4 linked regions of the Mus musculus genome follow. The protein of the gene in region 1 purifies or fractionates together with the protein of each later gene. This does not show direct contact. Links are inferred from orthologs where the notes say so. Each region holds a gene or a part of one and is shown in the gene's direction. Other genes may lie near its edges.

Region 1 (8,199 bases):
ACACACACACTTCCTGGTGTAGGTCTTCTATTCCAGTCATGACCTGGCAGGAACAGCTCCCAGAGCCCTGAGCTCCCAGCCCGTGGATTTGCCTGGCAATTGACTGCCTCATCTCTGGTCTTCTACCTGGAACTCTGCCTGATGTCTTTGTCCTGTTCCTGATGTGGGAGAGGGGCACACACAGTTGGAATAGTAGAGGAACTAACCGGCCAGGGCCCCAACAGTCCCGCCCTGTAACTGAAGTCTGGGGAGGCCTCAGAGGAAAGATTGAAGCTGCTGCGGTTGGGTTCTCTGGTGGTGACTTGAGGGCGGGGCTGGAGATGATGGGGCAGGCCAACCTCACTCCAGATGTGATAGCATCTCCCCTGTGCCCTGCGGGTTTCCCTCTCCTCACATCCTGGGTGGGCTTTCCACATCTGGAGGGAGGAGCTAGAGATGAGCCTGGGAGGAAGAGGCTGGGTAGGGCAAGAGGATTGCTGGCCTGGCCTCCAGATGTGACTCAATGACCCCTTATCGTCACAACTCTTCCAAGATGGTAGCTTCGGAAGGGGAACGGCTACACGGACCCCCTGTTGCCCCGACACCTGATTCCCAGCGTGAGCCAAATACCCCTCTAACTAACCAGAGGTTTTAGGGCAGGAGAGGGGGCTCTGGCAGCCAACCAATGGAGCTGGGCCTCTACACCAATTAAAGAGATAACTAGTTGGTAGAATGCTCACTTAGCACGAGTGAAGGTCTGGTTTAATCCCCAACAAGTCAGTTGTCACAGGCCTGAAATCCCAGAACTTGAGAGGCAGGAGCAGGGGGGTCAGAGGTTTAAGGTCAGCCTTAGCCCAGCAAGCTTGAGGCCGGGCTGTACTGCGTAAGACTCCTGCCTAAAAAGAGGCTAAGGGGACATCAGGTTAACAAACACAAAAGGATTTATTCAATGTGGCCACACTGGGAAAGGGAACAGATCAAGAGTCTCAGTAACCCCAAGTTTGTTTTGGGGTACTAATGTGAGTTGGCTTTTGGAGAGGCCGTTGTTGCTGTTTTAGCTGCTAATTTTTGTTTGGTTATTTGGTTGGTTTGGTTTGGTTTGGTTTGGTTTGGTTTGGTTTGGTTTGGTTTTTAAGACAGGGTTTCTCTCTGTACTCCTGACTATCCAGGAACTTCAATCTGTAAGCCAGACTGTCTTTGAACTCACAGAGAGCTGCCTCTGTCTACATCCTGAATGCTGGGGTCAGAGGTGTGTACCACCACTGCCTGGATAGCTGCTAATTTGTTTTTTTGTTTTTGTGTTTTTGTTTTTGTTTTCCGAGACAGGGTTTCTCTGTGTAGCCCTGGCTGTCCCGGAACTCACTCTGTAGACCAGGCTGGCCTCGAACTCAGAAATCCACCTGCCTCTGCCTCCCAAGTGCTGGGATTAAAGGCATGCACCGCCACTGCCCGTTTTTTGTTTTTTGTTGTTGTTTTGTTTTTTGTTTTGTTTTTTGTTTTTGTTTTTTTTTTGTTTTTTGTTTTTTAGCCAGGGTCTCATGTAGCAGATGAGAATTCCTAATCCTCCTGCCTCATTTTCCCAAGTGCTGGTGTTACAGGCATGAGCCACCATGTAGTTTAAGTTTAAATATTGAAAGAATCAGCACAGATAACAAGAGGTATGCATACCTGGGCTGACTGACTGGCTCTGTACGATGGCTTAAAGAAGTCATATTGCTTAAGGGGATGTGTAAGTTCTAGGGAGAGGGTCACTCCTTCTCCCGGGTGTGCAGTTACCTCAGGAACACTCCGGTGGGGGAGGGGTTGTCCTGCAAGGCTTGGCTCGGCATTTTTGAGACAGTGACTAGTCTTCGTGCCTTTGGCTTAGAAGGGTGATGGTCAGGTCAGGAAGGCGGAGGGAAGCGAGAGCCTGAGCCAAAGGAAGGAGACAGAGATACAAAGACAAAGGCAGAGAGGGCAGACTCACCCTTTCAGTAACCTTCCAGGGCACGGGAGGAATCCAGGCTTTTTGGCAAGAGCAGCTTTGAAGTGCCTGTATTATCACACACCCTCCGCTCTGCTCAGTGAACCTCCCTAAGTCTCTCATGTCACCCCATGACCCTCTGTAGCTCCCCAAGACCCTCAGGTAAAAGACACTGAAACCCTTTACCTGGCCCACAAGACCCTTCATGATCTTTAACGCCCAGCTTTCTCCTACATGGTAAGCAGCTCGTTCCCCAGGCACGGGCTTCTCATCTCCAAGCCTTTGCCCAGTTGGAATGCTGGGTCCTTTCAAATCCCTGCTTCATATGTCAGTCTCTACCCCACCATGGTGAGTGTTTGCCCTGCTCAGTGCCAGTGCGGTGTTATTTCTTAATTCAACGCATAGTCACATTCTATCCAAACCGTGAATTCTGAGAGCAGGGCCTGGGAGGGGCTCATCTTCATGCCCTCTGAGGCCAGCACGGAGCTAGACACACAGTAGGGGCTCAGGAAAATAACTGCTAAATGAATGGGAAGGGATGGCCAAGTCTCTTCTCTAAAAGTGGGAATGAGACCAAGGGGGCACATCTGGCACACCCTGGACTGCCCCGAGGCTTGCCTCTCAGGCCCCGGGGATGTCACAGCCAAGGCACTCAGAACTCTCTGCAGGCCCTGCAGTGGGGTGAAGTCCAAGGTATGAGCCAAGGACACCAGCCTCAGGCCTGGCGCCCAGCCCAGGCTTTCTTTAGCCCTAGTGAGCTGCACTGAGCCGTAGCCACAGTCCTCTGCTTCCGGGGAAAGCCCTGGTGGGGCCTGTGCTTTGTGGTCCTCCTCAGTCCTCCCGCAGAAGCCCACAGTGGGAGTCACAGCGAGAGCCACACCCTGGCCTGCCAGGCGGCAGCCTCTTCAGAGAGCCTTGCTCTAATTCTCTGCAGGCATCTATACACACATCCCCCTCCCCCACCAGCTGCGCTGGGACCTAGGGGCTTTCTCCCTGCTGGCCCCAGGCCCTATCCCGCCAACTCTTAGGTTTAACTCATCCTTAAACTATTTTCCATTGGCTCCCCCAATCTCTGCCACAGCACAAATCTTTTTTTAGTGGAAAGAGGGATGGAGAAGAATAAGAGGCGGCGCCAGGACCCTGAGGGAGGGGCTAGGAGGGGGGGTCTCCTCTCTGACTGGTCACCTCTGCTCCAAAATTGACTTTATAATCCATAGACTCCACTTCTGGTGGCCCCCATCCTTGTCCTGACATGCAATTGGCTGAACTCCCGGGGAGGGGCGGGACTCACCGGGTCTGATCCAGTTAAAAAGGTCGGAGCGGGCCTGGGGCCCGTCTCTCGGGTGGAGTCTTCTGACTGCTGGTGGAGCAGGTCTCAGGAATCTCTTCGCTTCAGCTTCAATCATGGCCTGTGTGAGTGCGGGACCCTCTGTTCCAAGGTCTAGGGGACTGAGCAGAAGCAGATGGGCACAGGAGAGTAGACAATTGGGGACTTGCTTCTGGTCCCAGCTGTGCTGCCTTGGACAGGTGTTTTCTCTGGTCCTCAGTGGCTACATCTGTAAAATGGGGGTGGCTGTCACTGTTCCCCCCTGAAACCTTAAGCGTCTCTGGCTTAAGAATGTTCTGGACTTCTCGTAGTTCTGGCCGCATACCTGCCTTGCAAAGTCCAGTATTCTGCTGCTTTGCCGTTTTCTGAGAAGTGGGAGTGGGAAGGGTGTGGCCACCCGGGGAAAAGGGAGGCAGGGGGACATTTTGGCCAAGGCCATTCCCTGTTCACTCTTCCTCTCCACTCTAGAGTCTCCTGACCCCTCCCCCGCTGCAGCTGTCCCCAGTCACAGGGCCAGGGCTCAGTTGGTCACCCTCTGCTCCAGAAAACTAAAAAAAAAAAAAAAAAAACCCTCCCGGGCCTAAGATAGGCTCCAGGCTGGTCAGTGGAGGCGGGTCAGGGCTGGGCGGAGGAAACTGCATGCATTTGCACAGACAGGCAAGCCCTCAGGTATAGGGTTCAAATGTCAAAGAAACCCCTTGCCCAAATGAACTCCTGTCAACTCACCCAGGTAGGTGCACAGCAGTGCCCTGATATGTACTGGGCTCTCTAGCGTGCTAAGTCCACATTGCCACTCTCGGGCTGCCCAGTCCCACCGCCCCTCAGCCTCTCCGCTCCCTCCCGATGGTGTGCATCTAAGCAGAGAGCCTTGAAGCCGATTGGGGAGGCAAAGGCTGTTTTCTCTATCTCAGAGAAGCAAGGCCTTAGGCTAGTGGTCGCCTAATCCTTCCATCAGCAAAATGAGGATTTAGGAAGTCACACTCCATCTCCCCTCCACTCTAAGTCCAGGTCTCCAAGCTGATGTCTTTTAGGGCTTGTTCTGTAGGACAGTCACAAGTTTGACACCCTGCTGGGAATGAAGTCGTTCCCCATCAACTTACACCCTATCCTGACCAGCCCATCCCACCTCGGGCTTCCCCTAGGGCTGGTCAGGGTACTCCAGGGTGGGAATGACCCCATCCCTACACCCCAGCCCAATGCAGGTAGGTCTAACTCCAACCTAAACACAGCTCGGTGCTCTTGTCTACACAGGGTCTGGTCGCCAGCAACCTGAATCTCAAACCTGGGGAATGTCTCAAAGTTCGGGGAGAGGTGGCCTCGGACGCCAAGAGGTGAGACTGGAGAAAAGAATGGAGCGGGCAGGGGGCCAGGTTCGCAGATTTAGGTTGCGATGGGCGTGGCCGGCCGGAACCGCTCATTCCCCAGCCCGCAGCTGGTTAACGGGCAGCTGCAGATGCTGCGTTTTCTGGGTGAGTCACTTCCTCGCTGGGTCTAGTCGACGTCGCCGTGGTCTCCCCCTCCCTCCCGCCTCCTTTCTCCCGGCTGAAGTTTCTTAAACTAAAGCAGCTGCTGCTTCAACGACTCCGGCTTGCCCCTCCCCTTCCGCGGGGGGGGGGGCGGGGGTGGCGCGAGGGAGCGGGGGAGAGGCGTTGAGGGAGTGGTCACCCACGTGCCTGCTGCCTGAGGGTGCCCTGCAGGGGCTCAATCTTTTTTCCAGAGCTTCCTCCTCATTCATACCGCCCCACCGCCCCCCCCCCCCCGCCCCCAGCAGCCATGTGAGTTTGGACCAGTCACCCAAGCTCACGAGGCCTCGACTTTTTTTTTTCTTTTCTTTTCTTCTCCGAAGACAGGGTCTCCTTATATAGCCCTGGCTAGCATGGAATCTGTGTTGACCAGGCTGGCCTCCACGAAGACCCACATGTCTCGTCTCCCCAGAGCTGGGATAGAAAGTGTGTACTTCCATATTCCACACCCCTAAGAGCCTGGGGTTCCTAATAAAGCCAGAGGGAAAGTGGTGGAGGGGAGAGAGCCAGGGCCAGTTCCATCAAGCAGGCAGCTGCTGCTGTCTGTTGTCTGTTGTTAGTAAGTTCCTGAGCCCTTTCGCCTCTTCCTACCATACCTCCACGGTGAACACCGCTACCAGGCTCCGTGCAACAAACTCCGTATTCTTTTTGTTAGTTTGTTTGTTTTTTTGGTTTTTCAAGACAGGGTTTCTCTGTATAGTCCTGGCTGTCCTGGAACTCACTTTGTAGACCAGGCTGGCCTCGAACTCAGAAATCCACCTGCCTCTGCCTCCCAAGTGCTGGGATTAAAGGCGTGCACCACCACAGCCAGCCAAACTCCATTTTTTTTTTTTTTTTTTTTTGGTTTTTCAAGACAGGGTTTCTCTGTATAGCCCTGGCTGTCCTGGAACTCACTTTGTAGACCAGGCTGGCCTCGAACTCAGAAATCCGCCTGCCTTTGCCTCCCGAGTGCTGGGATTAAAGGCTCAAACTCCGTATTCTTATTTACGCTTCTTCTCCACAGTGAGGGAAAATCTATGGTGTGCCCTGCGCTGTACTCGGCACCAGGGACTCAGATACACAAGACAGATAGGACACCATCTGGAGAATCTCCCCTCTTGACCAAAGGGGTTGACAACTATCAATGTCTGGGAGAGAGCTCCCCTAGTGCGCACACACACACCACCACCACCACCACCACCACCACCACTGTACAGTCAGAGAGAATCTGCAGGGTCTAGCTCAGTTCACATGGTGAGACCAGAAGTAGAATCGAAGTTCCTGGCCTTCCTGTTGCTTGAGTTTCAACATGGCATGTCCATAGCCAGCTGCTGATGTTGCATTTTCTCAGTGAGCTGGGGTCTAGCACCATCCAACATGGCTGAAAGCCCACCTGTCCCCCCCCCCCCTAGCTTTGTGCTGAACCTGGGAAAAGACAGCAACAACCTGTGCCTACACTTCAATCCTCGCTTCAATGCCCATGGAGACGCCAACACCATTGTGTGTAACACCAAGGAAGATGGGACCTGGGGAACCGAACACCGGGAACCTGCCTTCCCCTTCCAGCCCGGGAGCATCACAGAGGTGGGTGGCGCTGGGCAGGGCCCTGGGTGTGCTGGGCAATATGGTCAGAGCCAGAGGCTGACCATTCCCTGCTGTGTGATTACCCTTGAATGGCATCACTCTCTCAACATAATAGACCTCACCTATACAGAACCTGTCCCCGGGGCTCTGAGCTGGTCCAAGGCCCAGCTCACTGCCCTTCTCCATCCACCAGGTGTGCATCACCTTTGACCAGGCTGACCTGACCATCAAGCTGCCAGACGGACATGAATTCAAGTTCCCCAACCGCCTCAACATGGAGGCCATCAACTACATGGCGGCGGATGGAGACTTCAAGATTAAGTGCGTGGCCTTTGAGTGAAGCCAGCCAGCCTGTAGCCCTCAATAAAGGCAGCTGCCTCTGCTCCCCATAATCCAGCCCTTTCATGGGAGAGTGTTTGTGTGTGTCTATGTGAGGGGCCCCGCCCAACCTGGTCCATCTTCACTTCCATTCATGCCTCCATGTGTTCTTGGTCTCAGTGACCTCTCTTGTGCTTTCCAGGCCAAAGAGAGCCCAGCACAGAGAGGGCTTAAGTGACCACAGAGGGTGAGCCAGTGTCCCACTGTGACAGGGACAGAGCAGTGGGAGGTGGATGGATGAACAGCCGGACCGCATTTGTCTTAATAAAAGCCAGAAACCACTGAGCATGATGACACATACTTGAAATTAAGGAGGCTAGACCAGGCACATCGGCATGTGTTCCAGAGCAGTCTGGATAGCCTGGGCGACATAGTGGAGACAGCTTGGGCTAGCTTTATAGTCCTATACCACTAACTTCTTAGGAGACTGAAGCAAGAGGACCACTTAGGACTAGCTCGGCAATATAGTATGACCTCATATAGGTAAGGACTAAAAACTGTTGTATAGCCTTGTGCTTGTTAGCTGGTCTCTCTGAGCCTTAGTTTATCGTTTTATGCATGAGGGATAATATTCAGTTCTCATGAGGGTTGTTGTGGAGTTAAATGAGATTTTGGTGGAGGACTCCAAGTTCTGCTGTGGGTACGTCATGACCAATGCCATTTGGGTAGCTTCTGGTCTTCCTTACACTACTAACTTTTTATGCCTGCAAATGCAAAATGCGTAGGGAGGAAACAGTCTCTGAGGGACAAAATGATCCCTTAGCAGTTGAGCCCAGAGGAAGCAGGCTTACCCTCCTGGAATCAGTGGGCAGCTAGAGGACTAGGCTAGAAGGCGCTAACTCTGTGGCACTCAACAGGTCCCCTCCCTAACAATGGGAATCTGGCATGAGGTCACACTCCTGTAATGTGATTGGGGATTCTGAGTGGGCCCTTTCAGAGACATAAGATGAGGAGTGGGGTGGGAAGGCTGATGGGAGGGCCCAGACGCAGGTCTTCCAGAGGGCAGGTGGCTCACTGGGCTGGCAGAGATGGACGTGCCTGCCTACCACTGCGTGCTTATTCCTGGCTTCCAGGAGGAGGTGTCTTCCAGATCTCAGCTCAGGATCTGCTGCCTTGGGATGGGATGCTGTTCTCAGCTGAAGCCTGTCCCACCCAGCGCAAGCAACTCATGGGCCACCATTGTTCATCTGTACCAGTGTCCCCACTTTACATAAAACAGCTGCAGGAACTGAGCCAAGGTTCTGGAAGGCTTCAGCTATAAGCCTCACTAGGCTCTCCCTCCAACTCTCAAATCTGGGGCATAATATCTTGAGGCTGGGAGGCAGGTGCCTGCAAGATCTCATTTTCTAGGATAGACTGGCACCCTCCTGGTAGGGTCTCTTGCACCCCCGGCCCCCAGCCTCAGTTTTCCCATCCATAGCAGGGTGAAGACTTCATGTTGGTGAGTCCAGGAAGCAGGGGTACCC
Region 2 (7,399 bases), on another chromosome or scaffold:
AAGGCTGGGGCTTCCTCTTGCTCCGGCTTCTTGCTCCGTGCTTAGCTGCAGGGCGTGCCTGCTCATCTGAACAGAGTGCCACTTTAAGAAATGTGGCTGGGGTTTTGATTCCATGCTACACTGTAAATTATAGGGAGACGCTATCATTTTAAATCGCTCTTCCTCCTTTCTTTTTGCTTTCCCATTTCTTCTCCAGCTGAGAAGTGTTTTGATCATGCTGCTGGGACGTCCTACGTCGTGGGGGAGACCTGGGAAAAGCCCTACCAAGGCTGGATGATGGTGGACTGTACTTGTCTAGGCGAAGGCAATGGACGCATCACCTGTACCTCCAGAAGTAGGTTTAGCTCTTTTCTGTTGACAATGCAGCCCACTGTTGCTTCTGGATCCCTAGAGAGAGTTGTGATGCCTTGGTGACTCTGTGGTATCATAAGATGTCCAGAAAAACTGTATAACCATCACCTTCTGCTTCTTCAGAGGACACTCAATAACTAGGAAAGGCAGTTCTCAGTTCAACCCTGCCTTAGGCAGTCAGCTAGTAAAAATGAAAAGAGCCTTAGTGGTATTCGCTTGCTGGATGGGTCTTCCTTGATCTGGGAATTATCTCAGAGATACCTTTCTGGTACCGAGGACAATTAAATCCCTAAAGTAGCATGTAAATGAATCCTTTGACCTGGGGGAGCGATTGGAAATAAAAGGCTCTACCCCATGTTCGGATTTCCTTCTATGTTTGAAGTTTAAATAAGGTTTACTGACTCTAAACAAGAACCTAGTGGAAATGAGTCCGTGCCCAGTATTATCCTTCAAATAGGAAAGTGGAATGAATTTCTGTGTGTTGTTTGTTCATCGATTGGGCAGAGAGACTGTTAAATTATAACCCATCCTTGCTCTTACGCTACAATGTGGGCAGTAAGGGTCTAACTTTGTGACTTAAATATTGCTGCATTTGCAGTGTCAGGAAAAAAAAATCAACCATTGATTCAGGCAAATGCATAGACACACAAGAACAGAGGTCCAAGACCCCAGCTAACAGTGTTGTCAAACCTGAACCTGTTTTCAGTATCTTTGAATCAGTATCTCTTGAAACTCCTAATGCTGAGCTTTGTAAGTGATTAATACATGAGCCTTCCTCATCTTTGACCTACTAAGTGTTCTCTGAAGGCTGATGCCCAGTTCGTATTTCCCTCCCCATATTGCCACATACAAAGTAAGTACTTATAAAATTTTGTTGATCACATGCTATTTGTTTGAGAAACTTTGCATGCTGTCAGAAGGGTTTTAAATGATAGGTAAGAGTCTGAATTAGATTTCTTTCTACATGTGTTTATTTTGTGTGTGGAGGTGGGAGGCACACACGCCACAGTGTGCATGTGGAGGGCAAAGGACAGTTTGGACCGCGCAGGGTGCAGTGACCTCAGGTTGTCAGGTTTGGTGGCAAGGTTCTTTACTCACTAAGCCAGCTCAGTGGCTCAGAATTAGATGTCTAATTTGTCTTCAATGAAAATACTGCCACAAACGACTTGGAAGACTGAAGCTCATCACAGTTTTAAATCAAAAGATCTAAGGATCCTATAAGTTTGGGGGAAACATTTGATCTTTTTCCATGACTTATTTTTGTGTGGCAAAGAATTTGAACTTGGGTGGTATTTTTAATTACTAGTTTAAGCTGGATAAACAAAACACATTCAAGATATCTAGATTTGACTTTTTTTTTTTTTGCATGCGTTTTAAAATTCATGCTTCAGCAAATTCCAAGGCTGTTGTTAGTTTGAAATTCTAAATGGAACTTTGAAGGCAGAAGCAGCAATTAAGACTTCAAGACAATCTTAGAAGCGGGAGGGAAGAAGGATGCCTGGGGCCAGCTTTTTACAAGGATAATAAGAGACAGCATCCTTAACTCCAGAAGAGACCTTTTAACCGTGGGATAAGCCATTTTGTCGTTGCTATTGGTTATTGTCACTGTTATTATTACAATTACTATTATACAGGGAGGATTCTCATAAGCCCAGGCTGGCCTAGAACTTACTGTGTTGCTGAGAGAGACCTTGGGCTCTTAACACTCCTGCTCCTACCTCCCAGACGCTGGGGTTAACCACGTGGGTGACTTTGTAATTGTAAAACAGGTGGTTTTGGGTGGGGCAAGAAAAGAGAACCTTCTAGCCAGAGAAGTTGTTTTTCCACAGGAATACTTTTACATAACAAGTGGAGAGATTGGTGTGGTTAACTTTTTAGCTTCCCTGGGGCAGTCGGAAGAGACCTGCCTCCTTATTGTTTATTGAAAGGAGGGCCATGGGCTGTAATTACAGAAAAAGGTCTGGAAGACACTGAGGAGTAAAGAGTAGATTGCCAGATAATTAATTGAGTCAAAGAACCAATGTAGAAAATCTTAATTTTTTTTAATCAATAAAAGACACTGAATAGTATTTTTTCTTTTTTTCCTTTGGCAAATGGAGAGGTAGGGCTGTACTGTAACGAACCGGGTATCTGAATTTTAATATATGCATCACCAGCACTGGGTAGGATGTACTAACACCAACAACAGCCACTCAGAAGCATTCAACTGCAGCATTCCCATCTTAGTGTGGATGGCTGCGTGTCGGTTACTAGATAACTTCTATATTCAATGCTTCTCTCCTGAAACAGACAGATGCAACGATCAGGACACCCGGACATCCTATAGGATTGGAGACACGTGGAGCAAGAAGGACAACCGAGGAAACCTGCTTCAGTGTGTCTGCACAGGCAATGGCAGAGGGGAGTGGAAGTGTGAGCGACATGCTCTACAAAGTGCTTCAGCCGGTGAGGCGCTGGGACCGGGGACAGCTCCACGCCAGGGTGATTTATAGCGTTTCAGCTAAGAAGCTGGAATCGTTCACATAACTGTTTAAAAATATTCATTCTATATTGTGAACAAAGTTGAGTGGAATGAAGTTGAGACGTGCCTTTAGCACAGAGGGCTGGGTTGGAAAGCATAGTGTACTCTGGTCATGGCTCTATTAGTATAGGCTTTGGCTTATGAGCATGAGACTCAGAGTTCAGTCTAGAACCAAAGTAAATATCCAAGTGTGATGGTGTTATCCCAGCACCAAGAAGGTGGAGGCAGGAGGATACCTGGGGATTACAGACCAGCCAGCTTACACTACTTTGGAAGTGTGGGGGTGGTTCCAGGTTAGTGAGATGGTGTGGCTGGCCAGCCCACTTTTCTTGGGGGAGTTGGGGGAAGTTGTGTTCTAGGTTTGTGAAAGATGGTGTCATAGAAAACAAGATGGCTCTGGGCATAATCCCTGCCTTCTACATGCACAAGCTCTCCACACGCATGCGCACATAGATAATGTGCATGCACCCTCCCTCACATGGACAAGCAATAGTGAGTGAATGTGTGGTATGTACTTGGAATCCTCAAGCCCTGGGTTCAGTTCCCAGCACCCTCCCAAAACACCCCAATAATTATTATATAAATTTAAAAGAATAACTAAAACAAAGAAAGGTATTTGTATGTATCTTGGATGCTTGGTCAGAGTCTGAGGAAGGGGTCGGAGCACTTGCCAACCATGCGCAAAGCCCTGGTTCTGGTTCCCCATCACTAAATAAAAGGAGGGTGTGTTGTGCCTGCGATTCCAGGGATCAGGAAGTAGAGGGACGGAGGATCAGAAGTCCAGAGTCAGCCTTGGCTACGTAGTGAGTTCTAGTCAAACCTGCTCAATGTGGCTCAGTGGGTAAGAGCACCCAACTGCTCTTCCGAAGGTCCAGAGTTCAAATCCCAGCAACCACATGGTGGCTCACAACCACCCGTAACGAGATCTGACGCCCTCTTCTGGTGTGTCTGAAGACAGCTATGGTGTACTTACATGTAATAAATAAATAAATCTTTAAAAAAAAATAAAAAAAAAAAAAGATGCTGTCTCTCATGCACACACACATCGGAAGAAGGAAGTGCAGCTCTTGTGGGTGGTACCTTCCCGCTATTGCGCTCTGGGTTTCCATCTAGCTTTTACTGTGTGATAGTCCAGCCTTGTTACTTAGCCTCTTAGCAGTCAGTCATTCAGGCAATAGTAATTAGATTTTTTTCCCCTTTTGACGAGTTTATCTGGACCTAATTAATCCTTGTGAAAGCAAACAAGGTTACATTTGATGATCTCTACATTATCCAATTATCATCGATAAAAACAGCTATTGGCCATAAGGCAGAGGAAGAACAGTTACGAATGTCAGTCGACTGAACTACATGAAGGATTAACTGAGCTAACTGGGATTAAACAATACGTGTTAACTATTTTTATGGCATCACTAATATACCGAGGTGTTTCACTATTAAAGGGTTTGAGAAACACTGTTAAACGAAACAACCTCTTCTAGGAGGGCCTTGCCGTCCTTCTGTATGGTGGGCCTTGACACCATTGGCGTCCTCTGTCTGAGTTCTCTTTGGGTATTTGTGCTCGTCAGCGCTGGGGGAAGAGGCTAGATTCATTCTAGAAGCTCTTCCGCTGCCATACGGACTCTGACCTTCAAAAGCCAGATTTCTAAAAGAGAAGCTAGCACAATCTGTTGTGTTAACTATCCGAGGAAACTTGTGAGGATTGGTTGCTTCTAGGAAAACAAACAGACATCCTAAGGAATTCTGCTGAGCACCGACACCCAGGAAGAGGGATAACTTAGGAAATCCGTAGCTCTCCAGGGTGTCCTCCTGAGAGCCAAGTTTTAGAGAAGGCAGGATATCCCCTGTGGGTCTTCAGGGGTCTCTCAGGAAGAGGAAAGGCCACACACAGAGCATATGAGAGCTATGAGGGAAGACAGGCAAGGCAGACCATTTCAGATGAGTGGGGAGCCATAGGGAGAAGGCAGGAGCATGGTACCCAGGAATGATGAGCAGCTCAGTGGGTTGAAGCTTAGAACAGGGCAGGGAAGGCTAGCAGCCAGGCGGGAGGGGAGAGTGGTAGAGGGGTGTGGAGCTCACAGATGGATCGCTTCCTAGCGTGACTGAAGGTTTGTGAAAGATAACCTGTTGTGTTGTGCGGCAGGATAATGTTGTCGCTTAGATGTGCTGTTCAGGTGTGGCTCCGATGAGGATTATATGAGGAGTCTTGTGAACCACTTCTTGGGCTGAGTGCGGAAGTTCCGGGTCAAGCCAAGAAGACTCTGGACTCATTGACTTCTCCCTTCCAGTTTTATAACTTTTTCATTCTCCTGCCCTTAGGATCTGGCTCCTTCACTGATGTCCGAACAGCTATTTACCAACCGCAGACTCACCCCCAGCCCGCTCCCTACGGCCACTGTGTCACCGACAGTGGTGTGGTCTACTCTGTGGGAATGCAGTGGCTGAAGTCGCAAGGAAACAAGCAAATGCTGTGCACGTGCCTGGGCAATGGCGTCAGCTGCCAGGAGACAGGTAGGCACCATCTGCCCACGGATGCCAGAGGACCTACATTCAGTGTCTGCAGTATCTTAGCTGTTCGTAAAAAAAAATGTAAAACCATAAATCCAGAAAAGTTTATAATCCTGTGATAAAAATCATAGTAGCTGACATTTTCTTCTCTGGTCTTTTTTTTTTTTTTTGGTTTTTTGAGACAGGGTTTCTCTGTGTATCCCTGGCTGTGGCCTTGAACTCAGAAATCCCCCTGCCTCTGCTTCCTGAATGCTGGGATTAAAGGCGTGTGCCACCACGCCCGGCTCTTCTCTAGTATTATAACTTGTATATTTTCTTCCTATCATGAGGATCAAACTGCTTTGTAGTATCTGTATTTGCCGAAAGGGATGCTGCAAGAACACCATTTTTTTCCTGTTTGTTTTTGTTTTTTCTCAACTAGCCAATAATCTGTACTCTGAGTTCAATTTGGAATTATAGATGTCTTTTAGCAGCACATGGCCTCTTCTGGGTCAAACATGCTCTCTTTTATAATTGTTTTTCTAGAGCAGCCATATATACTGTTTCTTCTGAGAATGTAAGCAAGCATGTATCGCTCTGTGCCGTCTTCAAATCATAATAATTTGTATTAATAAAGCTTTACAAGTGGGGAAACTGAGTCACGGTAGCAGAAGTGTCTCCCAAAGACATTAAAAGGAGAACTCTGGCTCACCCTTAACCAGCTGACTAGACTTTTCATCTTGGCCCTTTAGTAGCACAGTTTCCATTTAAATTAGAAATTTGTCACCACTGGGGTCAGAGGTGAGGGTGGGAAACAACTGTACTGACTGAGACTCTTGGTTATGCTTGTAGCCGTGACCCAGACTTATGGTGGCAATTCAAACGGGGAGCCCTGTGTCCTCCCGTTCACCTACAACGGTAGGACCTTCTATTCCTGCACCACCGAAGGGCGGCAAGACGGACATCTGTGGTGTAGCACAACTTCCAATTACGAACAAGACCAGAAGTATTCCTTCTGCACAGACCATGCGGGTGAGTGTCCTGGGAGGAACCAGAGAGGGCGGTCGTCTGTCTGTCCTTGCCGTGCACACCCTTCTGTGTGCCAGCAGTCAGTCAGTCATTCCGAGGCTGCACGGGAACTATAGCTTTGATCTATTTGAACCCACAGCTAATCCCTTAGCAGAGGCAGGCAGTTTCCATGTCCCTTAGCGCCACTGGGGAAATGTCACTGAGGGAAAAGCCCTATGGTTTGATTATTTCGACACATGGGGATTATGATGTGATTAAAGACACTCAAGTATTGAAATCAGTGGATGATCCCACAGAGCCGATGAACACACAGGATAAATGTCAAGGGTGCCGGTACTTATCTTCTGTGTAGAGTCGAATTTTACACAAAGCTATCATTTAATCTTTTTTTTCCCCCCTTGGCTGGGAAAATGAGAAAACATGAGATTTAAATCTATTTTGAAAGTGAAGATGAAAATCCACTAAGAAGCTTAGGGCTGTATTATCAGATATCTTTTTATTTGTGGATAGGCCCTCTGGGACTTAACAGCCGGAACCTGGCTCTGTCTAAGCCTGCGGTAGTCTCTCCTTGTCGTACACAACACAGCTCAGCTGTAATCTTCGGGTTTGTGTGTTGTCTTGGGCAGTTTTGGTTCAGACTCGAGGCGGAAATTCCAATGGTGCTCTGTGCCACTTCCCCTTCCTGTACAACAACCGGAATTACACCGACTGTACTTCTGAGGGTCGCAGGGACAACATGAAATGGTGCGGCACCACCCAGAACTACGATGCCGATCAGAAGTTTGGATTCTGCCCAATGGCTGGTAAGAGGAAGCCCTGTGAGTTATGGGTGTGGACCCGCTAGCAGCCTGTTGATGGTCTGGGAGAGTACGATGTGCATCTATGTATTATATCTTACATTTGCAAATTGAGAAAACTGTCAATGGCAATGTATTCTGGCAAATACAGAGCTGTCCTCATTTTACCTGGATACAGAAAGAGGAATCAGGGATTGCTTATTGTTTTTAAGTT
Region 3 (7,399 bases), on another chromosome or scaffold:
AATCTTGGCGACATTGACAATGACGGCTTTGAAGGTAATTAAAAATCTCTAGTTTGGTACTTAATTTCTACATTTAAAATAGCTCAAGGAAGCAAATGTGATTGTAGTTTTGTGCTTGTTCACCTTTTTGTTGAAAGAGGAACCAGAATGATATGCCACCTAGATTTTGAAAATGTTATGTCAGTTATTAATCTTTATCACAGTTAATTAGAGGGGGTTATTCAAAGCATTTTTATTGGTTCTAAAGGTACCATTGATTATAAGTAGCATCATTCTTTACTCATCTCTAAAATGATGCTTATCAACTCTTGATATCCATCATTTTACTATTTAAAAATGATCCTGATATTAGAAAGAAATTATGAGGTGTCTATATCATTGGAGCATGATATTTAACTACCAGTACAGCCCAGAAACTGAGCAAACCCAACTGAGTCTGGAGGTGAAAGTGGAGCATGTTCTGGTGCCCCCTGCTATGCCTGGAGTACTGTCTGGAGCTGCTTTGCTCTAGGATCTGGCAAGGACCCAGCAAAAGTCATAGCATTGGTGAGGGGCAGAGTAGTGGCTATCCACCAATTGACCTTGAAGCATTTACATGATTAATAAATGGCACTGTCTTAACCATGCATCCTGCCCTAGACATCAGGCTTGCAGTAGAAATGCCTTCCTCTGCACCTGTCTGCTCTCAGCCTACTACTGGGAGTTAACTGGGCCCATGAAACTGCACACATAGGATAAATATGTGTTAGAGGAGAGTATATGGTTTCCCAGAGTGCAATAACTTCCTACAATTTAGAAAGTAAGTTTTTAATGTTTATTTTCATGCCTTGGAATTGAATCTTCTTGATATTGCCACTGATAATTAAAATATGGTTTGTCTTAAATAGCAGTCAAAATTACCACTGTAGTTGTGAAAAAATTGAGACAATAAGTAATATCATGAAAATAAACTTTCTGTTCTTCAGATATCAGTTAAAATAATTAAAACACTGCATATTATTAAGTGCATTAATATGCCTCCATAGCATCATGTGGTATAACAATGACATGTTCTTGCAGCTATGGAATGTTAATTTTCTTCTTCGTGTTACATGTATTTACATCACTTAAGCAATGAGATGAGTCAGCATGTTTGTTACTCTTGAGTTGTTTTTTTCCATGTTTTAATCCCAGTGTCATAAATTCAACATTAATCACAATAAATTCATTCTGTCATTATTTTACAAACAAGACATTTTCTGAAATTCTATTTGTATGTGTGTGTATCTCTAATTACCACTACTGGAAGAAGAATGGATTCAGAAACCATTTTACTATAATAGAAAAGTCTAGAGATTCAAAACTAAGGTTCCTGTGGTCATACAGTCTCCCATTATAACACGCCAGATGCTGTTATATGCATTTGATGTGTTACATCCTCTCATACCAAGCACATTTGTCTTTGTGTGCTCTCATTCCATGAGTGGGAAGCAAGACACATAGAATAAACACTGGGGACATACAGAGCAGCAGGGCACAGCGACAGAGCTGAGGTGTCAAGAGGTATGTTTGCAGCCCCCGTACGCTTATCCGTTATGACAGAGTGTGCTGCAAAACCACCCACTCTGGTATTTTCCATACGCAAAATATTATGCATAATCTTGAAGCTCATGTAGTTAGTTTTTTGTTTTTTGTTTTCCTGGCATAGTGGTTGTATTTCCTTATAAGAGGGAGTTTTGAAGTGGATGCTCACAGTCAGCTATTGGATGGATCACAGGGCCCCCAGTGGAGGAGCTAGAGAAAGCACCCAAGGAGCTAAAGGGGTCTGCAACCCTATAGGTGGAACAACAATATGAACTAACCAGTACCTCTGGAGCTTGTGTCTCTAGCTGCATATGTATCAGAAGATGGCCTAGTCGGCCATCATTGGGAAGAGAGGCCCCGTGGTCTTGCAAACTTTATATGCCTCAGTACAGGGGAATGCCAGGGCCAAGAAGTGGAAGTGGGTGGGTAGGGGAATGGGGTGGGGAGGAGGGTCTGGGGAACTTTTGGGATAGCATTTGAAATGTAAATGAAGAAAATATCTAATTTAAAACATAGAGGGAGTCTTCATATTATGACACATGCATTCAGAATCATGAAGGCTAGCTTTCCAAGTTCATCCTTTGCATCAAGAGTTTTAATATTTTCATGATTTAAATCCGACAGATATTGCTATTGGTGCACCACAAGAAGACGACTTGAGAGGTGCTGTCTACATTTACAATGGCCGAGTCGATGGAATCTCCTCCACCTACTCACAGGTAAGATGCTCTTCAGACTTGCACAGGAACATCAGAGACTAAAGTACCCTCAGTATTTGTCTGGTAACGTGGACTTGTTGTCTCTCTCAAATATGTAACATTTTTATTTCACCACATAATATTGGTATGTGATCTTATTTTAACTCTCAATACAATTTTCTTTAAACCCTTTATTGCCACTAGTGTTCCATTCCATTTTTTTTCTTGTCCTTATGTGTGACAGCACATCTGTGTTTTTGAGGCAATGGCCATTATTTCCCAACTTTGCCCACTTGGATACCAAGCGCAGGTAAAGCTTTATGCTTTACAGAGCTAGCACAGGGAGTGAAATGCATTCATGAGACCATGTTTCTTTCTAAGTATAATAGTTAAACTAATAATATCTTAATACAAATTTATGACAAAACTCTCATTTCAATTCTATATCTTGACACCTCCAGATATTTCAGTGTAGAAAAAGACCTACATTCTAAGAAAGATTTTTTTCAGAGATTTGCTAGCTAACATTATTTTGGTGTGACCAAAAATAGGCAAGTGACCCTCTAAATTTAATTTAAAAGTTAGGTATATGTCAAGTCAAAGACTGATTTTTTTCTTCCTGTGAATAGTACCCATGTATTTCTAATTCAGTGTTTGGACATGAAATTAAATAGATGGAGCAGACTGAGGTGTGGAGTGTTCTTGAACGGAAAGGAGCAATCTGTCGAAACCAGTAGGTTTTCATCAGACATCTGAATAGTAATATATGATAAAGAGTAATAGATATCTTATTTTTCAAAATCTCTGTTTATTTATTAATGTTGATTATGGAAGTAAAAGCAGAACTTGAAAAAATTCAAAGACAAGAAATAAGTAATTGTTTTGGAAACACTAAAAATTATCCTATAAAATATTGCCTTTTTCACAACATAAAGTTTTTGTAACAAAATAGATTTCAGGTGTTTTTAAAGGTGGGAAATTTTACATCTCTTAAAGTGTAAGAATGTGTTTTCTTGGTCAGTGTGCTAAGACAAGCCTGAGAAGATCCATTATTTAACTAAGTAAAATCTTGGAAATATTAGATATTCCCAACAAGATTACACAACACAGCCCCTTTATTTTTCCTAGAGAATTGAAGGACAGCAAATCAGCAAATCATTAAGGATGTTTGGACAATCTATCTCAGGACAAATTGATGCAGACAACAATGGATATGTTGGTGAGTAGATATGTCCATTTTCAGGTCTGGGAAGGAAAAAAATTTTTTTGTGGGATGCTGCTTTAGTGTGAACATAGAAAGCCAATGTGAAGGACTTCAGATTACTCATAATTGTGTTCTTGAGAAAGAAAAGAAGTACGTAAGAAACCAATCAAACGTGATGAAAAGCAAGGAGATATCTGTTTTGAAAGACGTGAAAGGCGCCTTCTGGAGGAATGCTTCCGGCTTAAAGCTTTATATTTTGTTTGGCAGCCCTGTTGCAAGCATCTAGCATCCCGTTTCATTTCTTTCTTATAAAACGATTGCTGCTGCTACTTCTGGGTGCGTAGATTCAGACATATCATGAAATGGATCTGAGGATGCGAGCTTGCCGTTCCCAATTATGTTTCTGTAAATGCTATTTTGATACAGTTGAAATGTGATGATTAGTATTTGCTGCTGCAAGGTTATTCTCTTTAACTAATAGTGATTGGTAATCTACCCTGTTGATTTATTATTTTTTTATTATTATTACTATTCTGCAGATGTAGCCGTTGGTGCATTTCAATCTGATTCTGCAGTGTTGCTAAGGTGAGGTTGATGTGTGTCACTCCTTAATGACAGTTGGGCCTAATTGTAGAGTGTGGGCGGCAGGTTTTAAAAGCAACGGCCTTGATGATGCTCCTTTTGGTATCCTGGAGTCCTATCATTAAACTTTGGGATATTTTTTCTCACCTTGTTTAGACATAATTAAACAGACCATCAGATAAAGCTAATGGTTTTATAGATTTAAGTGAAAAGTTCTCTTAATCTGTACACAAAATATAATCATGCATGTATGTACATACCACTAAGTAAGCATTTTAATGACGTTGCTTGTTTGTTGGGAACAAATGTAATTACTGTCTTTACAGTAAGATTATTCTATAACTAATATTAATAATTTTATTGCCTTCTTAGGACAAGGCCTGTAGTGATTGTTGAAGCATCTTTAAGCCATCCTGAGTCTGTAAATAGGACAAAGTTTGACTGTACTGAAAATGGACTTCCATCTGTGTGCATGCATCTTACACTGTGTTTCTCATATAAAGGCAAAGAGGTCCCAGGCTACATCGGTAAGCACAGCCCACAGAACTAATACCATACACTCATTCTGTAATCCAGGAGTCAATTGTGTGCCCTCATCATCCATTATCATGAGCATTTGACATTTCTTTAGAGCAGAATGGAACAATCTTTTGATATGCACCTCTTGTCTGTCTTGTTTTTGTTGTTGTTGTTCTCAATTTGTTCTAGCCAGCATATGAGGCACAAAGGAGGTTTAGTGCATAACTCAAGAGGAGGAGCTAAGGCCACCCCTTGCTGCGTTAATTTAAGGTGAACCCTCTGTGTGTAACCTGTGAAATCTTCAGAATCAAACGAGGGCACCACAGCTCCCCTGCTTGACAGGGCTCCTCTTGAAATGTTTTTATTGTTACTACTGCCTTTTCCACAGAAATGGAGAAAGAACATAGAGCCTTGGGGATGCTGTGTAGGTGTCACATCACTGAATTACACCCTCAACGCTACTGAGCTTGTAAAACCTGGAGCATAGCATAGGTATGAAGGAGTAAGAGGCACAGGGTCTTCATCTAAAGTGTATGCTGTTATATTTGAATAATTAAAGATGCTTCTCTGGAGGCTGGACCTGGATTTAGTATATGTAATATGCTGCCACCCTCAGCTCTGAGAACTGTGCCCCTTTTCCATTTATAGGGAACTCTTCAATTGACTGCCATAGAGAATATAGCATTAATATGGATCATTCAAGAGGGTAGTTAATGCTAACTTTCACACATACACACACACACACACACAGAGAGAGAGAGAGAGAGAGAGAGAGAGAGAGAGAGAGAGAGAGAGAGAGAGAGAGCAGCCTTTAGAATAGTTACTAATGAAAATGGCCCCCAGTAAGTCATACTTCTACCTGGGGTTATCATCGTTTGGATATTAGTCACTTGTGAAATTGATTGAGCAACAACTGAATAGGCTGCTGTTATATAAAGATCACAGAGGCTGCCAATTGCTTATGGAGCCAAACTTTTGATGTGTAATAGAGGTTCCAGTCTGAGCAATTTTGTTATGTAATGGGCAGCATGAACCCAGCATCTGTACTTTATGAGACTCATTTTTTAATAATGCTCTTGAAAAGCCCTGGCCAAAGCTGAAGTAATAAAAAGATGGGCAAAGCTTCATCTGGTTATTGGCACCTGGGGAGTGTGACCCCAGAGTGAATTACACATTAGCATAGACAAGCGGATGGATTATCTGAAAGATACACAGAGTGGATGCGGCTGTCTCCTTGTTCTTCCAACTCCTTTGCACTAGATCTGTTTCTTAATGTCTGAAAATGAATATATGAAACACAAATAATCACAGTGTTCTTATGAAAGCGGCTCTGGTAAGAATAACCCACATGGTAGCTTGGTGAGGTCATTATGTTCTGCCTCTTGAGGGGAATACATTTGTAGTCCCTCCTTTACCTTTGCTCTGGACTCAGGTGATAAATTTGAAAATGGTTACTTCAGTTGCAACTCTCTCTTGCTTTCTAGGTAATTATATTACAGTTATTGTAATTTTGAATTCAATTGATTTAGACTTTATTTTCTAAATTAAATGATGGTTGAAAGGTTTATTTGAAAATGAATGTAAGACTAACAAGTTTGATGCATACATTGTGGGCAAAATACCTTCAGAAAAGTATGTTTCTTTTCAGATGTAAATGAATGTTGCAGAAATTATATATATATATATATATATATATTTTTTTTTTAAATTTACTTAGATATCATTACTCCTGTGCAGTGAGGGCAACTCAGTGGAGGACTGCTCTCAAGTCACTTTGTAAAGAACCCTTTTAGAGTCAGGAAATGAGGCTTACTTCCTAGCTATAATCTGCTTTGATGATTTTATGGCTTTTAAAATCCCCCTCTTCTTTTTTGATCCAAGGATCTTGTTTTTCAGCTAAATATTAACTATGTCGGATTTTAACCACCCCTAAACCACTAGAATATTTGAGAGAAAGATTATATACTTCTCATTTTCATTTTAGATTAACTTTAGAGGGTCAAACCATGAGCAGTAAAGTCACAAAGAATGAATAATTGGTGATTGGACTGAAAGGAAGGTATTTTTTTAGTAAGCCATTTTATAAATTTTTGGGTTTTGACCTGGTTGTTCATTTTATATAGGAAAATTAAATAAAATATCAAACTTTCAAATAAGAAACACAAAATTAAGGGACCCATACTATATTAGACATTAGGCATGCACCACACAAGTCAGCTATTGTACAAGACAGATTCATCCTGAGAGATGCTGGAGCTCACGGCTCTAGACACACTTCTGTCATTGGCTGATGCATAGACAAACAGACTCGTTCGGTTAGCCAAGATTTTTGTGTGGTTTTCTCATTCTTATATGTGAAAAGATTAAGCAAATAACTAAAGGTGTTAATAAAGATAACTGGAAAATAAGTTAATAATTTTTTATTTTATTAAATATAATTTTAAAGAATATTTTATTTCTTTCTTTTTTCATACTTCAGTTTATCTGCTTCACACTGATCCAAGGAAAGAACTCAGGGAACTTCCTGGTTGACTTGTAACTGCTAATACCTCAGTGCCTTAGGAATGGATGCTAATCACGATGCTTTCTCTGTTTTTGCAGTTTTGTTTTACAATGTGAGCTTGGATGTGCACAGGAAGGCAGAGTCTCCGTCAAGATTTTATTTCTTCTCTAATGGGACTTCTGACGTGATTACAGGAAGCATACGAGTTTCAAGCAGTGGAGAGAAATGTAGGACACACCAGGCATTCATGCGGGTAAGGGAAACTACTTAACGATGAAATACAGACATCCCAATTGTCCATGCGGCAGCAAGTTACTGTGTGTTTATGGG
Region 4 (7,399 bases), on another chromosome or scaffold:
ATCTTTATACGGAGTTAGAGTTTAGTATTTTCATTTATTACTGTGGCTTAGAGTGTTTGGCAAGCATCTATGGGTGCAGTTGCACATGTTGTATTGCGTGTGAAAGTCAAAAGACAACTTCAGGGATTCGGTTACCCCCTTCCAAAGTAGGTTCCAGGGCTCAAATTCAGACCATTAGTCATGTGTGGTAACTGCTCTTCCATCCTGCTAGGCCAGCATCTAGGAGATTTGAAACTACTAAAGTAAAAACTCTGCAGAAATTGCCTGTTCAATATGAAAGAATGGACCTTTCCCTTCAGACTTCAAACACTGCCCCAAAGGTCTCTCATGAACATCAATAAACAGCTGTCTGTCTGTCCTCTGTTCATGATTCACCTGCTAGTCCTTGGAACAATGGTGACGCCATCAATCAAATCGAACAGTTTTAAGACTTTTTAGATGAACTTATTTTCAGGTCATATTCATTGGTACCCTGCCATCTGGGCATCCCCCAAATCTTCGGAGGAGTCAGTTCCATTCTTGCCTAACATTAAAAGAGCTGGGGTACAGCCTACCTGAGCTAAGCCAGAGACCAGAGCTGCTGCTCTCTGATCAAGACCTTATTCTCCTATATTCTTCATATCCCTTCTACAATCCCTAGATGCCACAGTAACCAGGTAGCCCAGAGATTATTTGTTATAGTGCAGGAGCAACAACCAAAGTTTTAACAGTTGAATCATTGTGGTTGAATCTGTTCTATAAAGTAAATATATCTAGCCAGGCGTGGTGGCGCATGCCTTTAATCCCAGCACTCAGGAGGCAGAGGCAGGCGGATTTCTGAGTTCGAGGCCAGCCTGATCTACAAAGTGAGTTCCAAGACAGCCAGGGCTATACAGAGAAATCCTGTCTCAAAAACACCAAAAAAAAAAAGTAAATATATCTAATATAGATTTCATTCAGAGACATCATAGAAGACCTTAATATAGTAACCAAAACCAGTTAATATCAAGCTTGCTAGGCCAAAGACAAAAGCAAGTTCACTCTAGAAACATTCCTTGTTCTCTCAAACTCTTAATTATTACGAAGTGAATTAAGATCTATAAAGAAAAAGACAATTCATTAACTCTTTTTAGAAGTAACTTATTTAAAAAACAAATTATATTTAAACTATATATACATATATACATACATATATATATATATACATATATACATACATACATATATATATATATATATATATATATATATATATAAACTATATAAGATTACTGATTAAAATGCTACCATTGGTAGCTAAGGAGATGCCGTGGTTGCTAATGTGCTTGTCAATCAAGTATAAGGACCGAAGTTCAATACCCCACACCCAAATTAAAGGTTGAGTGTGGTGATGCTCCTTAGTAATCTAGCACTGGAGAGTCAGATGCGGGAAGACCCCTGGAGCTTTCTGGCCAGCCACTCTAGCCTAATCAGCGACCTCCAGGTCCCAGAGAGAGAGCTCATCTCAAAACCAAGTAGATAGCCCCTGAGAAATAACACCCAAGGTTGGTTTCTGGCTTCTATATGCATACTTGTGCCCCCAACATGACACAGCCATAATAATTCTATGGAAGAAAACTGTTACAGTTGCATTAGCCTTTAAGTGGTTTAAATAAATTTATGACAACAACAGTCATAGAAATAGAGTTGTTGGCATAAACTGATAAAGAGCTGGCTTATTCATAGCTGGAATACTGATTGCTTCATAGGCTGCTGACATAGCAGCCATGATGTTACATGTACCAAGCAACCAAGCGCATAACTTTACAGGTTAGGTTAGCATACACTTCTTAGCTGGTGAGTTTGCATGGGTGACATGAAGCTTCCTACAACAGTCGATATAAAGTTTGGCATAAGTAAGTATTCGAAAAATAGAATTACGTGATGTTTCAGCCTTCATGCTTCCATGAAACTGAGCTTGCTATTTGGAGTCATGAGCTCACAATTTGGGGTTTAATATCCCATCACAACAAGCAGCCAAACCAGAAAATCAGAAAATGCCTGTGGATTTGAAACATATTAAGCTCTGCCTTTTTTTTTTCAGGTTGAAATGCACAGTTGGTCCCGCGATGAGTGAGCACTTCAATGTGTCTGTAATTATCTCAAACAGTCGAGAGACGACGCAATACAGTGCATTCTCCTATGTAGTAAGTTCAAGCAGGGCTTTTCTTCATGACCTAGGACATTTGGCTTTTCTGTCATCTGCTTAAAGGATGCAAGTAACCAGTCCCTCTTTGGTTTTGCTGCCCATTCAGGATCCTGTAATAACAAGCATTTCTCCGAGGTACGGCCCTCAGGCTGGAGGCACCTTACTCACTCTTACTGGGAAATACCTCAACAGTGGCAATTCTAGACACATTTCAATTGGAGGGAAAACATGTACTTTAAAAAGGTATTGTAAATATTGTTGTTTATTAATATCTGTGTTTAATACTTGCCCAGCCAAGCTCTTTTGCGTTTGTGCGGAGCACAATATAGATGTTTTCCGTGATTCTCTCCCACTAATGATTCTCTCTGTCCAAAATCCATCTGCTTCCTTTTGCTAATTTTTCTATCCTTCCCTTTTTACTGATTAATCCCCATTCTGAGTTTTGACTTGCTACCCACTCCTTTATTTTGGTGAGTCTTATCTGAGCTATACGGTGAACTTAAAGCTCTGGTCATTGGTAGTACATCAAAATGAGCATTTCTATCAAGATTCAAATATAAAGAAGATATGTGGTGGGACAAAATGGGTGAGGTTAGGTTTGAAAGGTAGTTCTGTTTCTCCTTCTTAGAGTTGAAGGAGCTAAGTTTATTCAAGTACCAAATGTACTTTGAAGCTTGCTTGAACCACCAAATGTTTTGAAGTCACGGATGGCCTTTCAACAAGGCTAAGCGTGGGATCTAGTTGGATGTAAACAAGCTACAGTGGGGAGAGCTTTTCTCCTAGGCCACCTCTGGAAATTCCACTGAGTTACATTTTTTTGACTTACAGATGTAATTTTGGAATATGTATATCACTAATAACTAATATCTGCTCTTTATTCTTTTCCTTCCTTTCTTTCTGGTCTTTTGTGTCTGTTTGCTGCTCAGTGTATCAGATAGTATTCTTGAATGCTACACCCCAGCCCAAACTACCTCTGATGAGTTTCCTGTGAAATTGAAGATTGACTTGGCTAACCGAGAGACCAGCAGCTTCAGTTACCGGGAAGACCCCGTTGTCTATGAAATCCACCCGACCAAATCTTTTATTAGGTAAGTAAAAGCTTCTGGTGGGTAGAAGAAAAGCAAAAGCAGAAGGATCATTTGGCTGAGGAACACCCAAGGGCTATCACATTTTTAATCCCTCATTTATTTAAACGCTGCTGTGTTTCTTTTGAAGGCACCTTTCCAATTTAGTGGGAAATTGTATTCCAGTCCTTGGGACAGTCTGACTTTATCGATGTTACTTCCTGTCAAGAGCAGTTCTTCCTATTATACATTTCCTGTTATGCTTTCAACACCTAGATAAAAACAGTTCAACCTGGTGCCATGGTATAGATGCATCTATGTCATATATAGTGTCTCCATCTGTGTCAGTTCCATACTGAGCTGCAGGTCGCCTTTCCCCTCTCCTCTTGTTGCATTTTGCGATCCCTTTACACATACGTATTTCTTCCCTGCACCAGACTCTGTTTTAGTCAGCATCTATAGAGCCTCTCTCCCACCTTTGCTCGTTCTATCAGTCCACCAACAATAGTCACTAGCATTTTTCTTCTCCACATTTAGTCGGTAAAAATTCAGCCATTTCTACAGCTAATGAAATGTAATTTTCTTTAAATATTCTCGAATTTCCAAAGAAGAGTTAACCCTGAACTCTCATTCAATCCTAGCGAGTCCTCTAACATCATAAGAGTATAGTAAGGATAAAGCTGAGTGTATAAGACTGAACCTCTGCACAGCTGGTAGGAACGCTCTGAATATTCCTGTTTTCTATTTTGTTTTACCAGTGGTGGAAGCACAATAACGGGTATTGGGAAGACCCTGAACTCGGTTAGCCTCCCAAAGCTGGTAATAGATGTGCATGAAGTGGGTGTGAACTACACAGTGGTAAGTCTTAGAGTGGTCATTCTGCCTATGCTGCCAAGCTTTTAGGGCACAAGGACATTTTGGCTTTGTCTAGTAACCTGCAGCAGAGGTCAAATGGTACTTTTATTCAGTGGTAGAATCTTGGCCTGACATGGTAAACATACATACATATACACACATGTTTATACACCAATGAAGCAGTTTTCAGACTTTTTGATATATATACAAACTTGTCACAAGCAAAGGGTCATGTGGGAAAAGGACTCACAACTGAGAAAGTGCCTCCATCAGACTGGCCTGCAAGCAAGTCTCTGGGACCATTTTTTATTATTATTGATGTTGGAAGGACCAGTCCACTCTGAGTTCTAGGTCCTCTAGGGAGGGATAGCAAAGGTAGTTTAGCATGAGCCTGGAGACTAAGCCAGTGTACAGAATTCCTCTATGGTCTTCCCTGCAGTTCCTCTTTCCATACTCCTTCCTTGGGTTCCTGTCCTGAGGTTCCTCGGTGATGGAGTGTGGTTGGGTTCCTGTCCTGAGGTTCCTCGGTGATGGAGTGTGGTTGGGTTCCTGTCCTGAGGTTCCTCGGTGATGGAGTGTGGTTGGGTTCCTGTCCTGAGGTTCCTCGGTGATGGAGTGTGGTTGGGTTCCTGTCCTGAGGTTCCTCGGTGATGGAGTGTGGTTGGGTTCCTGTCCTGAGGTTCCTCGGTGATGGAGTGTGGTTGGGTTCCTGTCCTGAGGTTCCTCGGTGATGGAGTGTGGTTGGGTTCCTGTCCTGAGGTTCCTCGGTGATGGAGTGTGGTTGGGTTCCTGTCCTGAGGTTCCTCGGTGATGGAGTGTGGTTGGGTTCCTGTCCTGAGGTTCCTCGGTGATGGAGTGTGGTTGGGTTCCTGTCCTGAGGTTCCTCGGTGATGGAGTGTGGTTGGGTTCCTGTCCTGAGGTTCCTCGGTGATGGAGTGTGGTTGGGTTCCTGTCCTGAGGTTCCTCGGTGATGGAGTGTGGTTGGGTTCCTGTCCTGAGGTTCCTCGGTGATGGAGTGTGGTTGGGTTCCTGTCCTGAGGTTCCTCGGTGATGGAGTGTGGTTGGGTTCCTGTCCTGAGGTTCCTCGGTGATGGAGTGTGGTTGGGTTCCTGTCCTGAGGTTCCTCGGTGATGGAGTGTGGTTGGGTTCCTGTCCTGAGGTTCCTCGGTGATGGAGTGTGGTTTGAGAGTTGTGAGATGAGTTAGACCCTCTTCTCCCACGTTGATCTTGACCCTGGAGCTTTGTCACAGCAGTGCAAACCTAATCAGCACACCCCGCAATGAGTTTCTCAAGTGAAAGAAATAGGATAGACATTTTTATGAATGAGGTGCATAAATACTATTTTTAATCATAATTATGTATTTTTCTTTTCTTTAAACCTATTCTACATGATGCCAATAAGCCAGATAGGACTAAATTATGCACACAAAAGCATTATATGTATAGATATTATAGATAGATGTATTTCTTGTAACACATACATAATCAAAGACGATTTTGACTAATGAAATTAAGAAATGTTCAACAATTACACACCCCTTGATTAAAGTAATAATATAAAGCACAGCACCCGCTCCACTTGCTGTGTCCCTCAAACTATGGATCAAAACCTTTTCCTTGCACTTCCTTACCTCGGTCCTTGTCTCTTTATTATCATACAGGGGATGATAATAAAATACTATTATCAAGTATTTCAATGGTATTTTTCATTTCTCTACATTTTTTTATTTGAAAGCACAACCATAATTTAACCTTAACAGAGATGGATCCATCTGTAGCTGTAACAGTTTTACATTAGGCCTAGCATGGGAGTCAGTAATAACAGCATCTGGAAGATGGAGACAGAAGGATCAAGAGTGTAGGGTTGGCCTCCTCCACCTAGCAAGTTCCAGTCCAGACTAGGGCTAAATAGACCATTTCAAAAACAAAACGAAACAAACAAACACCAATAATCTAAGTCTAAACCTCAGAATGGTGAATGTCTTGTTATAGAATTTTTCTGCTGTGAAATACCACACATCAGTTGGACACATGCACTCAACCTGAAGTAAAGGCTCTAAGTTCGATTGGGCAAGTGGTAGATTGAATTATAGCACTTTCTTTGAAATTCCCCCATCCAATATTTCACAAGGACTAAAGCCACTCTGGTCCTTAATTACAGAAAGCAATTTGGGACTAAAAATGTCAAGCCGAATCACCAAACACTAAGGTCATCTCAAACGAGATTCCTCTTGACCCTCTCAGTCATCCACATTGCATCACCTCTAACAAGTGTTATTAGATTCTTATCATATTTCCAAGAGAAGATGCTCCAGGGAGTCACAGCATGAAGTTAAGGACCTTAAAGCCAATCCCCATACATGGCCACAAACAAAGTTAGAATACCACCGTTATTAATTTAGGAGCCGTCACTTCTCCACAACCAAGATACGATTTTACTTTAACCAAATAAAAATAGCAGTAACCCTCTTTGGTGTTGGCATGTGACTTTTTAAAGTTGGGTCTAAGAAATGATTCATTTACTGAAGACCAAGCCTCCATTATTACGATAATGGCTGAGCTTGCTTTCATCTCCCTTACCCAAAGATGACATATTAAATGCTTGCTTGAAGCCTTCAGTGTCAGATATAAAAGAGGCATACCCTAGAAAAGACTCAAAAAGTGGTAGAAGATTTTTAAAAAGTCCTAATGGTCTATACATCTGGAAGTACAAACTCCTCTTGTTTGAGTTAAAAATGCAGCATACTGTAACTCTATGCATTAGTACTGGACTGGAGTGAGAAATTTAAGGGATTTTCTACTATTTACTTTTTCATTATTCCTTAATTTACTGTCATTTCTAAACTCTTCCCCATTCCCTGTGGCTTATAGAGTTTAAAGTTGATTAAGATGAATTGAAAGCATTTATTATTTAACAAATAAAAACTCATGGTCTGATCCAACCACAATATTTTTTTAATTCCAGTAAACTCAGTGCATTAAAATGTAGAAATAATTAATTTAACACAATGTAGATTAATGTGTTAATGTGCGCTATGTCCCAATTATTTTGTGGTTCCTAGGTTCTTATTATTATACAGAGAATTATTATGGTAGCAGTGAAATCTTTCATTTCCGCTTTACAAGATCATAGGAATAAATAGCTCTCAGTGCTATGACATTATATTTGATATAAAACTAAATATTGCAATATATTTTATCCATATAGTATCTCTGTTTTATCTGATTCCAACATACATTTTTAAATACAGTCTGTTTTAACATTATTAAGAAGAAAATATCACACAGTAAATTCTGTGCTTTTTATGTATAT

The links. The genes of interacting proteins can lie anywhere in the genome.
Region 2: the proteins of Lgals1 (region 1) and Fn1 purify together in Homo sapiens (affinity purification with mass spectrometry; 3 studies listed by BioGRID and IntAct, with this or other methods). This does not show direct contact. The link is inferred for Mus musculus from reciprocal best matches to the Homo sapiens genes LGALS1 and FN1.
Region 3: the proteins of Lgals1 (region 1) and Itga4 purify together in Homo sapiens (affinity purification with mass spectrometry; 3 studies listed by BioGRID and IntAct, with this or other methods). This does not show direct contact. The link is inferred for Mus musculus from reciprocal best matches to the Homo sapiens genes LGALS1 and ITGA4.
Region 4: the proteins of Lgals1 (region 1) and Met purify together in Homo sapiens (affinity purification with mass spectrometry; 3 studies listed by BioGRID and IntAct, with this or other methods). This does not show direct contact. The link is inferred for Mus musculus from reciprocal best matches to the Homo sapiens genes LGALS1 and MET.

The regions. Positions count from the first base shown.
Region 1 is NC_000081.6:78,923,450-78,931,648, forward strand, and holds Lgals1 (galectin-1), read left to right. Parts: upstream 1-3,275; 5' UTR 3,276-3,346; coding exon 3,347-3,355; exon of another isoform or gene 3,356-3,498; intron 3,499-3,594; exon of another isoform or gene 3,595-4,520; coding exon 4,521-4,600; intron 4,601-6,183; coding exon 6,184-6,355; intron 6,356-6,548; coding exon 6,549-6,695; 3' UTR 6,696-7,016; downstream 7,017-8,199. UniProt on the Homo sapiens protein: Lectin that binds beta-galactoside and a wide array of complex carbohydrates. Plays a role in regulating apoptosis, cell proliferation and cell differentiation. Inhibits CD45 protein phosphatase activity and therefore the dephosphorylation of Lyn kinase.
Region 2 is NC_000067.6:71,640,944-71,648,342, reverse strand, and holds part of Fn1 (fibronectin isoform a precursor), read left to right. Parts: intron 1-196; coding exon 197-334; intron 335-2,640; coding exon 2,641-2,796; intron 2,797-5,191; coding exon 5,192-5,383; intron 5,384-6,211; coding exon 6,212-6,391; intron 6,392-7,014; coding exon 7,015-7,191; intron 7,192-7,399. UniProt on the Homo sapiens protein: Fibronectins bind cell surfaces and various compounds including collagen, fibrin, heparin, DNA, and actin. Fibronectins are involved in cell adhesion, cell motility, opsonization, wound healing, and maintenance of cell shape.
Region 3 is NC_000068.7:79,284,818-79,292,216, forward strand, and holds part of Itga4 (integrin alpha-4 precursor), read left to right. Parts: coding exon 1-34; intron 35-2,187; coding exon 2,188-2,282; intron 2,283-3,389; coding exon 3,390-3,480; intron 3,481-4,004; coding exon 4,005-4,050; intron 4,051-4,419; coding exon 4,420-4,574; intron 4,575-7,167; coding exon 7,168-7,322; intron 7,323-7,399. UniProt on the Homo sapiens protein: Integrins alpha-4/beta-1 (VLA-4) and alpha-4/beta-7 are receptors for fibronectin. They recognize one or more domains within the alternatively spliced CS-1 and CS-5 regions of fibronectin. They are also receptors for VCAM1.
Region 4 is NC_000072.6:17,531,849-17,539,247, forward strand, and holds part of Met (hepatocyte growth factor receptor precursor), read left to right. Parts: intron 1-2,062; coding exon 2,063-2,165; intron 2,166-2,273; coding exon 2,274-2,410; intron 2,411-3,093; coding exon 3,094-3,255; coding exon of another isoform or gene 3,256-3,259; intron 3,260-3,989; coding exon 3,990-4,089; intron 4,090-4,555; exon of another isoform or gene 4,556-5,373; intron 5,374-7,399. UniProt on the Homo sapiens protein: Receptor tyrosine kinase that transduces signals from the extracellular matrix into the cytoplasm by binding to hepatocyte growth factor/HGF ligand. Regulates many physiological processes including proliferation, scattering, morphogenesis and survival.